Linked DNA regions of Callithrix jacchus. The protein of the gene in region 2 purifies or fractionates together with the protein of the main gene of each other region. This does not show direct contact. Links are inferred from orthologs where the notes say so. Each region holds a gene or a part of one and is shown on either strand. Other genes may lie near its edges.

The links.
Region 1: the proteins of PRKAG3 (region 2) and PRKAA1 purify together in Homo sapiens (affinity purification with mass spectrometry; 3 studies listed by BioGRID and IntAct, counting the BioPlex papers as one, with this or other methods). This does not show direct contact. The link is inferred for Callithrix jacchus from reciprocal best matches to the Homo sapiens genes PRKAG3 and PRKAA1.
Region 3: the proteins of PRKAG3 (region 2) and PFDN6 purify together in Homo sapiens (affinity purification with mass spectrometry; 3 studies listed by BioGRID and IntAct, with this or other methods). This does not show direct contact. The link is inferred for Callithrix jacchus from reciprocal best matches to the Homo sapiens genes PRKAG3 and PFDN6.

Annotation. Positions count from the first base shown.
Region 1 is NC_133503.1:164,777,412-164,781,161, reverse strand, and holds the start of PRKAA1 (5'-AMP-activated protein kinase catalytic subunit alpha-1), read right to left. Parts: upstream 2,617-3,750; 5' UTR 2,612-2,616; coding exon 2,272-2,611; intron 1-2,271. UniProt on the Homo sapiens protein: Catalytic subunit of AMP-activated protein kinase (AMPK), an energy sensor protein kinase that plays a key role in regulating cellular energy metabolism.
Region 2 is NC_133507.1:140,561,199-140,564,865, forward strand, and holds the start of PRKAG3 (5'-AMP-activated protein kinase subunit gamma-3), read right to left. Parts: upstream 2,915-3,667; 5' UTR 2,882-2,914; coding exon of another isoform or gene 2,849-2,881; 5' UTR 2,768-2,848; coding exon 2,449-2,767; intron 2,014-2,448; coding exon 1,858-2,013; intron 1,523-1,857; coding exon 1,119-1,522; intron 41-1,118; coding exon 1-40. UniProt on the Homo sapiens protein: AMP/ATP-binding subunit of AMP-activated protein kinase (AMPK), an energy sensor protein kinase that plays a key role in regulating cellular energy metabolism.
Region 3 is NC_133505.1:41,531,746-41,534,389, forward strand, and holds PFDN6 (prefoldin subunit 6), read left to right. Parts: upstream 1-805; 5' UTR 806-841; exon of another isoform or gene 842-849; intron 850-989; 5' UTR 990-1,076; coding exon 1,077-1,140; intron 1,141-1,387; coding exon 1,388-1,458; intron 1,459-1,539; coding exon 1,540-1,664; intron 1,665-1,876; coding exon 1,877-2,006; 3' UTR 2,007-2,089; downstream 2,090-2,644. Other genes in the region: WDR46 (WD repeat-containing protein 46), read right to left, coding at 13-222, 320-388. UniProt on the Homo sapiens protein: Binds specifically to cytosolic chaperonin (c-CPN) and transfers target proteins to it. Binds to nascent polypeptide chain and promotes folding in an environment in which there are many competing pathways for nonnative proteins.

The DNA.
Region 1 (3,750 bases), on a different chromosome or scaffold from region 2:
TAAACAAATCTAAACATATCTATGAAACCCATGATCCTTGGACTAATATTGGCCTTTGTACATTTGGAGAGTTTGTTGACTCTAACAGAACATGGTACTCCAATAGAAGTACATGTGGGTGGAGAAGTGAAGGTTAAGAAACAGCAAAGTCACTGGAGACATTCATGTAACAACCATATCACAGATCAAATGCAGAGGATGAAAAATCTCTTGCTTTACTACCTGCCGTGCCAAAAACCACTTAGCAAATAAAACAGATCAGGCTGGGCACAGTGGCTCACACCTGTAATACCAGCACTTTGGGAGGCCACGGTGGGTAGATCACGAGGTCAGGAGTTCAAGACCAGCCTGGCTAACATGGTAAAACCCCATCTCTACTAAAAATACAAAAATTAGCTGGGCATGGTGGTGTGCGCCTGTAATCCCAGCTACTCCGGAGTCTGAGGCAGGAGAATTCCTTGAACCCGGGAGGTGGAGGTTGCAGTGAGTGAGATTATGACAAGGCACTCCAGCCTGAGTGACAGAGCAAGACTCCGTCTTGGGGGAAAAATAAAACCAGACCTGGCTTCATTCAAGTCTATATTAGGGGGAATAATGAACACCCTAATCCAATCTGAACACTGGGAAGGGGTGGGGGCAAAAATGAACATTTTTTTACAAATACTTGTAAACTAAAAAGCAGTTGGTAATTGCTAACAAGAAATATCATAGCCAAAAATAAACTTAAAACTTCCAGGGCACAAAAACATCTTACTGGCCTTATATGGACCTGTCCTAACAGCTGTTATTATCGGATTCTGGCATTTTGCTTCTTACTTCCTCTGGACATTGTCGGCCTTGCCGATTTTCACAAGAAGATTCAGGCAGTTGCTTCCCTGTGGGATATACAGCAATTTTCCAATTCTATGACTCAGAAAATGGCAAGAGAGTCTCTTACAACCCCAGACAAAATCAGAAAATGTTTATTTAGCTCTGGGAGAGCAAGTCTCAGTTAAGTTACCATACAGACTTACGAACTTTTTTTCTTTGAAGTCAAATATTTACCAAGAACTTACTATATGCAAGTCAGTCTACTATTTATCCAAAGGCAATGCATGAAGCATTTTTATTAGTTCCAAACTTCCTTTCTCTACATCCCTTATAACTAAGTCAAATATTTTAAAGAAAAAAAGAGTCATACCTCGCAAAGCTTGCAATTAAACGTTTTTGGCCAGAATTGGTGGGCTGTAGAGCAAATTTACTTCCAGAATATTGCTTTGAAACAGTCCATGCTTTTCTTTCTCTTAATTTCAATAGCTTTAGGGGTCCAAGCGGCTTTTGGTTACACAAATGAACTGCAAAGTAATGAAGTCTGGGATTTTAGTGTACCCATCACCCGAATGGTGTACAATGCACCCAGTACATCTTTCTTTAAACACACGTTCAAATGATATGCACATAAATCGTTTATCATAATACAAATAACCTTTGAAAATAAGTGGAAAACTGTATTAACTGAAAATAAGTGGAAAAGAACTGTATTAATAACGTAATGAATACGATCTGGAGGCAACATCTGCACTAACAACCAAGTTTCGCACAGAGAAACTCCTGATAATTCAGAAACACTAAAGGCAGAGTCTCATTCGGAATGTAAACCATGCATCGCAAATACTGAACCAGTTTATATTCATTAACTGCTCAGAAGAAAACCAGTGATCCTTTCCGACGAGATGGCCTTTAAAAAGAAAATGATGTAGGCTACCCAAAAAGCAACCTTATTTTTGCGGAAACACATTTCACACTCGGGAAACAGCGGGGGCCGGTAATCGACAACCTCCTACAGACGACGGAACACGGACAACGCCGAGGACCGCCAAGGAGCGATGGGCTGGCCCAGAGCCACGGGAGCACAACCCAGACGCGCGGTTGGCCTCCTCCCCGAGGATTGCGCCCGGCGCCCCCTCCTCCCAACACCAGAGCGCTCTTCGCCGCCCGCCAGCCCGACCTGGGAAAGTTTGCACCTCCGCAACCCCGCCCCTCGCTACTACTGGCCCCTCCGGCCGCGGCGCCGTCGCCATGGCGACTGGTCCACCCCCCACCCCCACTGGGCCAGGGCTGGCCGCGCCGCAGCCCCGTGGCAGCCGGGAAGAGCTCCCAGAGGAGCCCGGACAGGGGCTACCCAGCCCCGGAGAGGAGGGACGTAGGGGGCGGGGGAGGATGAAGAGGTGCGGAAAGCGGAAGTCTTGCGGCTCCCCACCTGGGGCCCAGCCTAACCCCAGTGATTCTCACCCTTCACTTTGCCGAAGGTGCCGACTCCCAGCGTGTCCCCCAGAATGTAGTGGCCGATCTTCACCCGCCCGTCGTGTTTCTGCTTCTCGGCTGTCGCCATCTTTTTCCAGGAACTGAGTCTGCGCATGGCGCCGCGGGAGGGGGCGGAGGGGGCGGGCAGGGCCGCGCCGGGGGCGGGCGGGGAGGGGGTGGGGACGCGGGAGGGCAGCCGCCAAGCAGAGCCACCGCCCTGCGCCGCCCGCCCAGGACCCGCTGCCGCCGTCGGGCGCAGACGCTCCCCCTGGCGGGGCGGGCGAGGACCGCCGGGAGTGGCACCGGTACCCGCCTCCTCGCCCCGCATCCTCTGGCCTGGGTGCCCGCCCACTGGCACGCGGAGGGGCTTCCTGGAACGTTGAGGCGGACAGTGGCCCCCGGCTCTTCTCTTCTGGCGGAGTTTCTGCCCGCTGTGATCTCCCCTAATTACCACTTGGGGATCGGAGAAGACCCCCTCTCTGGGTGACTCCAGAAGGGAGATGAGGACTGGAGTCATCACTCCCGCTCGGGTGATGCAGATCCGCGGTTACGAGGACCGCGAGAATTAAAGCAAGGCAGGGGACACCGCCCTGCCACTCCTTTCTAACCTTGATTCTCATCTTTCTTTCTCGGATGGAATCTAGAAGCCGCAGTTTTCACTTGCGTCTGTGATGGAGTTTCCCGCCCCTCGCCCCCTCCCACCCACCCCCAACCGGCGGTCTCTTTTCGCTTTGAGCCGGTAAGTTGCTACTGAGCCCCAGGACGGCTCCAGGAGCGCTGTCGTCGTTTTCTTCTGCAGATTATCCTGAAATTTCCTCCCCAAAGCAAGCTCTCTTGCGAAGAGCTGGTTGGGGAGATGTGCAAGTGAATGTGTATTCCAAGAGGGGGGTGATATGCAGAACTTGTGGTGTATAGGAATTAATACTTTTAGATTATCAGTAAAATTTTTACATTCACTGGACTGAGAAGGAGGCTTACGGTAACATCAATCAGATCAACAAATATTTATTGTACTTGCAATGAGTAATACTTAGTTACCACAGCATAAAGTCTCCTTATTTTAAATAAAATGTTTGAGTTTGTTACTCAGTTTCACTCTTCTAATTAGTAGGCAAAGTCAAGTGTTTTGTTATATTCTCTCAATTTTGCAATGTCATAGCATTGGGCCAGTGTCAATGGCAAAAAAAAAAAAAAAAAAAGGACCTTCATGAAACAGTATAAAAAACTAAAAATGTCATTTTTAATCCCAACAAAAATTACCCAACTCTGATTTTCTCCTCTCTGTTTCTGAAATAAAACATGCATTAGGCAATATTTTGTTCCAAGGAAGGTATTGCAGGGGAAGCAAAAGTTTCTGCCTTTGAGCTTAGTATTGCACCAGATAAACAGGGAACAGTCCCAGCTAGCCTTAATCAAGTTCCTACTATACTGGGGACTGCACATTGTTTGAAGGGAAAAAAGTTAAGA
Region 2 (3,667 bases):
GCACACCGTTGGCCACCAGGGCAAAGAAAGCCTTCTTGATCTGAGGGTCCAGGGAGAACAGTCAAGGGTGGGTCCCGAGAGACCCTCACCCTCCTCTCTCTGCCCCTCAGTGGGCACCTCCCATCTGCCTGCTGTCCCCTCCCGGTCCCACCTAGGGTTCTTCCATGAGGCCTTCTTCTGGACCCTCTTCTATACCAGCTTGCCTGTCTTTCTCATGTCACAGCACATGCTAGACATGATCGTTGCTGGGGACACGCGGTACACAGACAAGGCTGTGGCCTGAGACACAGAGCTGCTCACCCAGCACACTGGGGAATGAGAAATTCTGACTTCATGTTTCCATTTGGAGGGCATGTGTGTGCACAGTCTAGTTTCTGATAGCCTAAGTGCCGGAGGCATAGCTGTTTATGTAACATTTGTATATTTACATGCTTTTTGTAGATAAATTTTATAGTGACTCATTTTGAGCCCCATTCTGTTTTTTTTTTTTTTTTGAGACAGAGTCTCGCTCTGTCACCCAGGCTGGAGTGCAGTGGCAAGATCTCAGCTCACTGCAACCTCTGCCTCCCAGGTTCAAGCGATTCTCCTGCCTTGGTCTCCCAAGTAGCTGGGATTACAGGCACCCACCACCATGCCCAGCTAATTTTTTTTTTTGAGAGACAGGGTTTTACCATGTTGGCCAGGCTGGTCTCAAACTCCTGACCTCATAATTTGCCCATCTTGGCCTCCCAAACTGCTGAGATTACAGGCGTGAACCACTGTGCCCGGCCTCTGCAATGTCCTGCACATACTCCGCTCATGCTTTATACTGGGTAGTCCAAGAATCCTCTGAACTATGTGGGGTGCACAGGCATTTTGATTCTCATTTTAGAGAGGAGAGCGGTAAAGTGACTCCAAGTCCTACAGATACTAAGTGGCAGAGCTGCAATGACAATTAGGGGTGCTCACAGAGAGTAGCTTTCCCTCCCCCAGCTGGCCTCCATAGTGCCAAGAAGGAGTCCTTTCAGGGGACTTGCGGGGGCACCTGGCTTGGCAGGGCATCCTGCGGGGTGGGGGTGGTGGCTGCAGCATCGTGTGGGTGGAGAGCGGGTGCAGGTTGGGCAGAGCCATGGCCTCACCTCCAGCATGGTGTCGATGATGACCAGCTTGGAGCTGGTTGCCATGGCGTCGTAGCAGGTGTGCTCCTGCATGAAGCGCATGTAGACCTGGGCACCGGGTTTCTGCAGCTCGTCATCCCAGCCCAGCTTGGGAAACAGGGCCTCCGGGGACCGGCTTGGGGCAGGCCTCTCTTCTACAAGGTCTTCTGGCTTACGCTCCCAGGCCTCTGTGGCTGGGAACTCCGAGGCCAGCTCCGCATCATCTGGGCTAGAGCCTGCAGCTGAGGCTGTGCAGTCATGGGGGAGGCTGTCCCACCCTGTTGGTGGAGTGCCCACCCCAGCAGGATCAGCCTGAGCCAAGGGTATGGCCTTGGGGAATGTGGCCTCCAGCCCAGTGGACTCAGCAGCTGGCCTGGACCGGGGACCTGTTTGGGGGAGGAGGGAAGAGGATAGTAACTCCATCTTCCACAACACTTTCTCATCTGCTGTCGCAGTTCATCTCACAGCAGCTTTGGGAAGCCTGGATGCTGTGGCCCTTCTGCAGGTGAGAGGCTGATCTGAGAGTCACTCCGGATAGGGACTCTGTCCCAACTCTCTGAGTTGGCCATACTGGCCCCCCACCATTACAGAGCAGTTGTTCTCTCCCAGGTAGGGAGACTGAGGCCACAGATGAGGGTTGGGTCCAACTCTGTGTTATGGAGGGACCCGGGACTTCCCACTGCCCTGGCTGTCATCTCCCCAGAACTGGCCTTGGTCTCACCTTCCCCCAGACCCGGTGGCTCCCCTTCCTCCACCGCCTCCTGCCTTGTCCATCTTGAGGCCTTGGCCCTCCGTTTCCCACGGATTCTTTCTGAGCTACTGGTCACGGCTGGTGATGGCCATGAGGTGCTGTCTTCTTGCTCTAGGAAGTTCATCTCTGGAAGGGAAACGGGGCCTGTTTGGTTAATAGGGAGTCAGAGCAAAGTCCATTCGAACATTGTTAATAATAACCTTCAGAATGTGCCACTTTCCAATGGGCTTTTCTCCAACATATTTCTCATTTGAAACTCACAGCAGCCCTAAAAGGTAGGCATTATTATCATCCCTATTGTGCTAGTGAGGGACCAGACGTTCAGAGAGGTTAAGCAGTTTGCTGCAAATCACACAGCTAGTAAGTGGGAAAGTCCCTTCTGAAAAGAGGAAAGAGGAGGTGAGGGAAGCACACCTGGGGAAAGGAGGAAGAGCAATAAGGAAGAAAGAACAAAAGGAGGAAGATAAAAGCCAGGCTGGGAGGGAATGGGGTCCCAGAAAAGTGGGGGGACAAGGAAGTGAGGGAAGAGGTCAGGCCCAAGGGAGGGGGCAATCTCCCTACCTTGATGCTCAGAATCCCCAAGGCTGCTCCAGGAAGGGGTCTGTGTGGAGAAGACTTTCTGACGGCGTGGGGAAAGAGCCTTATATCCCCAAACCACAGGTCCTCCCCTTCTCCTGCACGCACGCCTACACACCCATACACACCAGGACACACGCTCACACGGCCATGCACACACACACACAAACACACACAGAAACACACACAGCCAACCACTCCCAGGCCCACAGAGCCGCACACACTCACAATACATATGCCCAGACACCCACATGCCCATATTCACGAGAAAATCCTGACCAAACCCACACCAACAGACACCCATGTGCGCACACACATTCACAGCGTGTGCTCTCAATCTTCTGGCCTCAGCTGCCCCGGCTCCGGCTCCCCTGGGCCCTCATACCCTGCGCAGAGCGTGCTCCAGCTCGGGCTCCATGTGGCCAGCCCCGGACCAACGGAGAGCAAGTGTGCAACACTGTGGCTGAGCCGCACTATTCTGGGCCCGGTGTTGGGCACCCTGCCCTGCCAGGGTCGGTTTCTCTCTGATTGGGTGTCAGGCAGCGGGAGGGAGGAGCCCCCACTCGCTCAGCTGCTCCAGCTCTGAAGCTGGGGCCTGCTGGGAGGTAAAGAGTGCACCCGATCATCTGCGTACCTGGTCCTTAGCTGCCTCCTGGGTCACTGGGGACAAGTAAGAGGGACCCATTATCCGGGGATGTGGGAACGTGTGCACTGGGCACAGTTGGGCTCTCAGATCCTGGGCCCCTATTCCAAAGGCCTCTCTCACCTTTATCAGGCACCAAAGCAGGGAACATGGAGGGAGGTCAGTGTAACTTTCTTCCTTACTCACTTTCAGCAGAGGGTGGTGCTGGAGTTAGAAAGGGCAAGTTGCAGCCAGCTTAGAGGCTGGCGAGGAGGCAAGGGGTTTGTGGGTAGTTCCAGGAGAGCAGTCAATGTATGTCCAGATATCCAGATTTGAGTCCCTGGGGCCTGTCCCTCTCTCAGGTAGAGGAGGTGGAGTGGGTGTTTCAGGCAGGTGAAGAGCTGTGAGAATCACCTCGAAGGTTTGGGGAGCAGTCAGAGCTCCCCACAGGGGAAGAGACACCTGTTTCCACCTGTGGTTGGGAGAGATGCCTGGGTGTGCAGCTGTCCCAGCCCCCATCCCTCTGTCAGTGCTGTGCTGACATCCCTGGTGCCAATGGGATCCCAGCCTGGCTCTGGTGGC
Region 3 (2,644 bases), on a different chromosome or scaffold from region 2:
TCCCACGCTCACCCCGGACAAGCTCCGCTGGGACTCCGAATTCTTCCATTCTCGGGGTTTCTTCTGGACCTGAGGCTTCTTAGAGATCCGAGACTTCTTTAAGATGTGAGTACTTTTTGCTCCCTGGGGACGGAGCTCCCGATTCTTCTTGTTAGGAGGAGGCCCTGGAGAGGCTCCGGCTGCGGTCGGAACAGTCTCTTCCTCCCAGTATCGCCGAGGTTTCTACGGGCAGATCAGTAGCCCTAATAACTCCGCACCTACGCCACGCCCCCCGACTCCGCAACTAAAAACTTATTTTCCCACCCAGAGAGGCCTCTACCTTTTTCTTGGTCTGCAGTTTGTCCTTCTTGGGCGGGACATCCCTGCCCGGCTTGGGGGCCGTCTCCATCTCGCCCACCCGTACGGCGATCCACGTGCAAAACTCCTCTCAGCTGCCCTACAGTCGCCTTGAAAACTTCCGGAAGCCCTCTGTCCGTCATCCAATCAGCAGCGTACCAAATCTGAAGCTCTCTTAACGCCATCTTGAGTGAGGGCACGCTCTCTTTAGAGAGGCGGAACAGCTCTTGGCACCTTATCGCGAGCGACAGCTTATACAAGAGAGACTTTAAAAAAAAAAGGGCAGGTCCAGGACCAGGGACTAAGTAGCGGTGCGATTTCTTTTTCTGGATTAGTTTCCCCGTCTTGCCTAAAAATGTCCGAGTCTAGTCTTTTTAGCAGAACGCCACTCACTAAACATGTCAGAACTACACTTCCCATCAAGGATCAGAAAGAAACTTCCCGACACAGTCTTTTCCCAGCATTCTTTGTTTACTTCCGGGTTTATTACTACTAAAGGGAGAACGTGAGTAGGTTAGGATTTCGGTTGAGGGGTTCGGGGTTTCGCGTTTCGCCCATCATCTCCTGGGAACAGGGTGGAGTCGATATCCGGGACGTGGGGAGTTTGCGGTCCCCCTCAGGGCTGCCTCTTAAGAGTGCCATCATTTCCGCAGGCCAGATCAGAAAGGGGAACTCAGGTACCTTCCAGAGAGTAAGATCCAGCGCCCTTCTCTCGCTCCCCTTAAGCTTTCATCCCCGCCATGGCGGAGCTGATTCAAAAGAAGCTGCAAGGAGAAGTGGAGAAATATCAACAGCTACAGAAGGGTAAGGGAGCAGGGTCAGTGTGGCCTCGCCCGATGCACTCACAACCCAAAACCATACTAGGATAAGGTCTGTTGCCCCATCTGGGCCGTCGCGTGCGGAGACTTTCCCGCGTCAGTACTCGTCCCTATTCACTGACCCGCTGCCCCCATCCTTGTTTACTTCCTCAGATCCATTTCCTCCTGACTAGGATTGTGGGGATTGGTGGCACATTTGATGTTTCTAATCTTGCCTTTCCTCTCATCCCCAGACTTGAGTAAATCCATGTCGGGGAGGCAGAAACTTGAAGCACAACTAACAGAAAATAACATCGTGAAAGAGGTGAGGGACTGGGATTTGTGCGGCGAGGAGGGGCCTGTACTGGCCATGGTTCTGATTACATATGTCCCATCCCTCCATCAGGAACTGGCCCTGTTGGATGGGTCCAACGTGGTCTTTAAACTTCTGGGTCCGGTGCTGGTCAAACAGGAGCTGGGAGAGGCTCGGGCCACAGTGGGGAAGAGGCTGGACTATATCACAGCTGAAATGTGAGTCTAACTGAACCATTGGAGTAGAGGAGTTGAGGAACCATTGCAGAACAGCTCTCCATAGTCGCCCCTAGTCCAGTTCCTCCAGACCCCTTCCAACACCCCTTCTGCACCCTTCCCTAGATCTCAAGAAAGAGAAGTCTCTTTCTTGAGTTTAGCACCCTCCATAGTAAGTCCCACTAATTTCTCCTTTTCTGCTTGTCTTTCCTCAGTAAGCGATACGAATCCCAGCTCCGGGATCTTGAGCGGCAGTCAGAGCAACAGAGAGAGACCCTTGCTCAGCTGCAGCAGGAGTTCCAGCGGGCCCAGGCAGCAAAGGCAGGGGCTCCTGGCAAGGCCTGACCCCATGGTGGGGGAAGGGGAGGGGCGGGAATGAGGCAGCTCTGGGATCTATACTGTAGCTAATAAAATGCAAAAACACCTGCCTCTGTTTCCTGATCAGGCATATCTCCACAGCCCCTTCCACCTTAACACACACCACCTATATTACTCCCTCAGGTCCAAACTCTTGCACTTGAAATCTCTCTGTGGCACAGTGTTTTCTTTCTTGAAAGTGAAATCCCAAATGTCCTCAAACCTTCTTTTAACTCTCCCTCATCTTGGTTGGCATGATTCTTTTAGAAGGGCATTTACATTTGTGAATGTGAGGAATGTCAGTTTAATTGAAGAATACAGTTCTCTAACATGAGGCCCCAAGGTGAAATGTGATTACCCTCCTTGCCAGCAGTCCTGACATCTCTATTAGTACTTTTCAGCCTGTCTTCCTAGAATTTGCTTGAATATAGCTTAAACTGACTTAAAAGCCTAGCATGTAATGCTTTATGGTGTTATAAGTCCTCCTAAGTTTATATGTTGTCCATAAGGTTGTTCAGCCATTTCTTTGTCCAAAAATTGTTTTATACACATTTGCAGCATTGTTTGAGGAAACTGTTCACCAAGTAACTCACTTTTTGCTCCGTTCATGGGGATAGAAAACACTG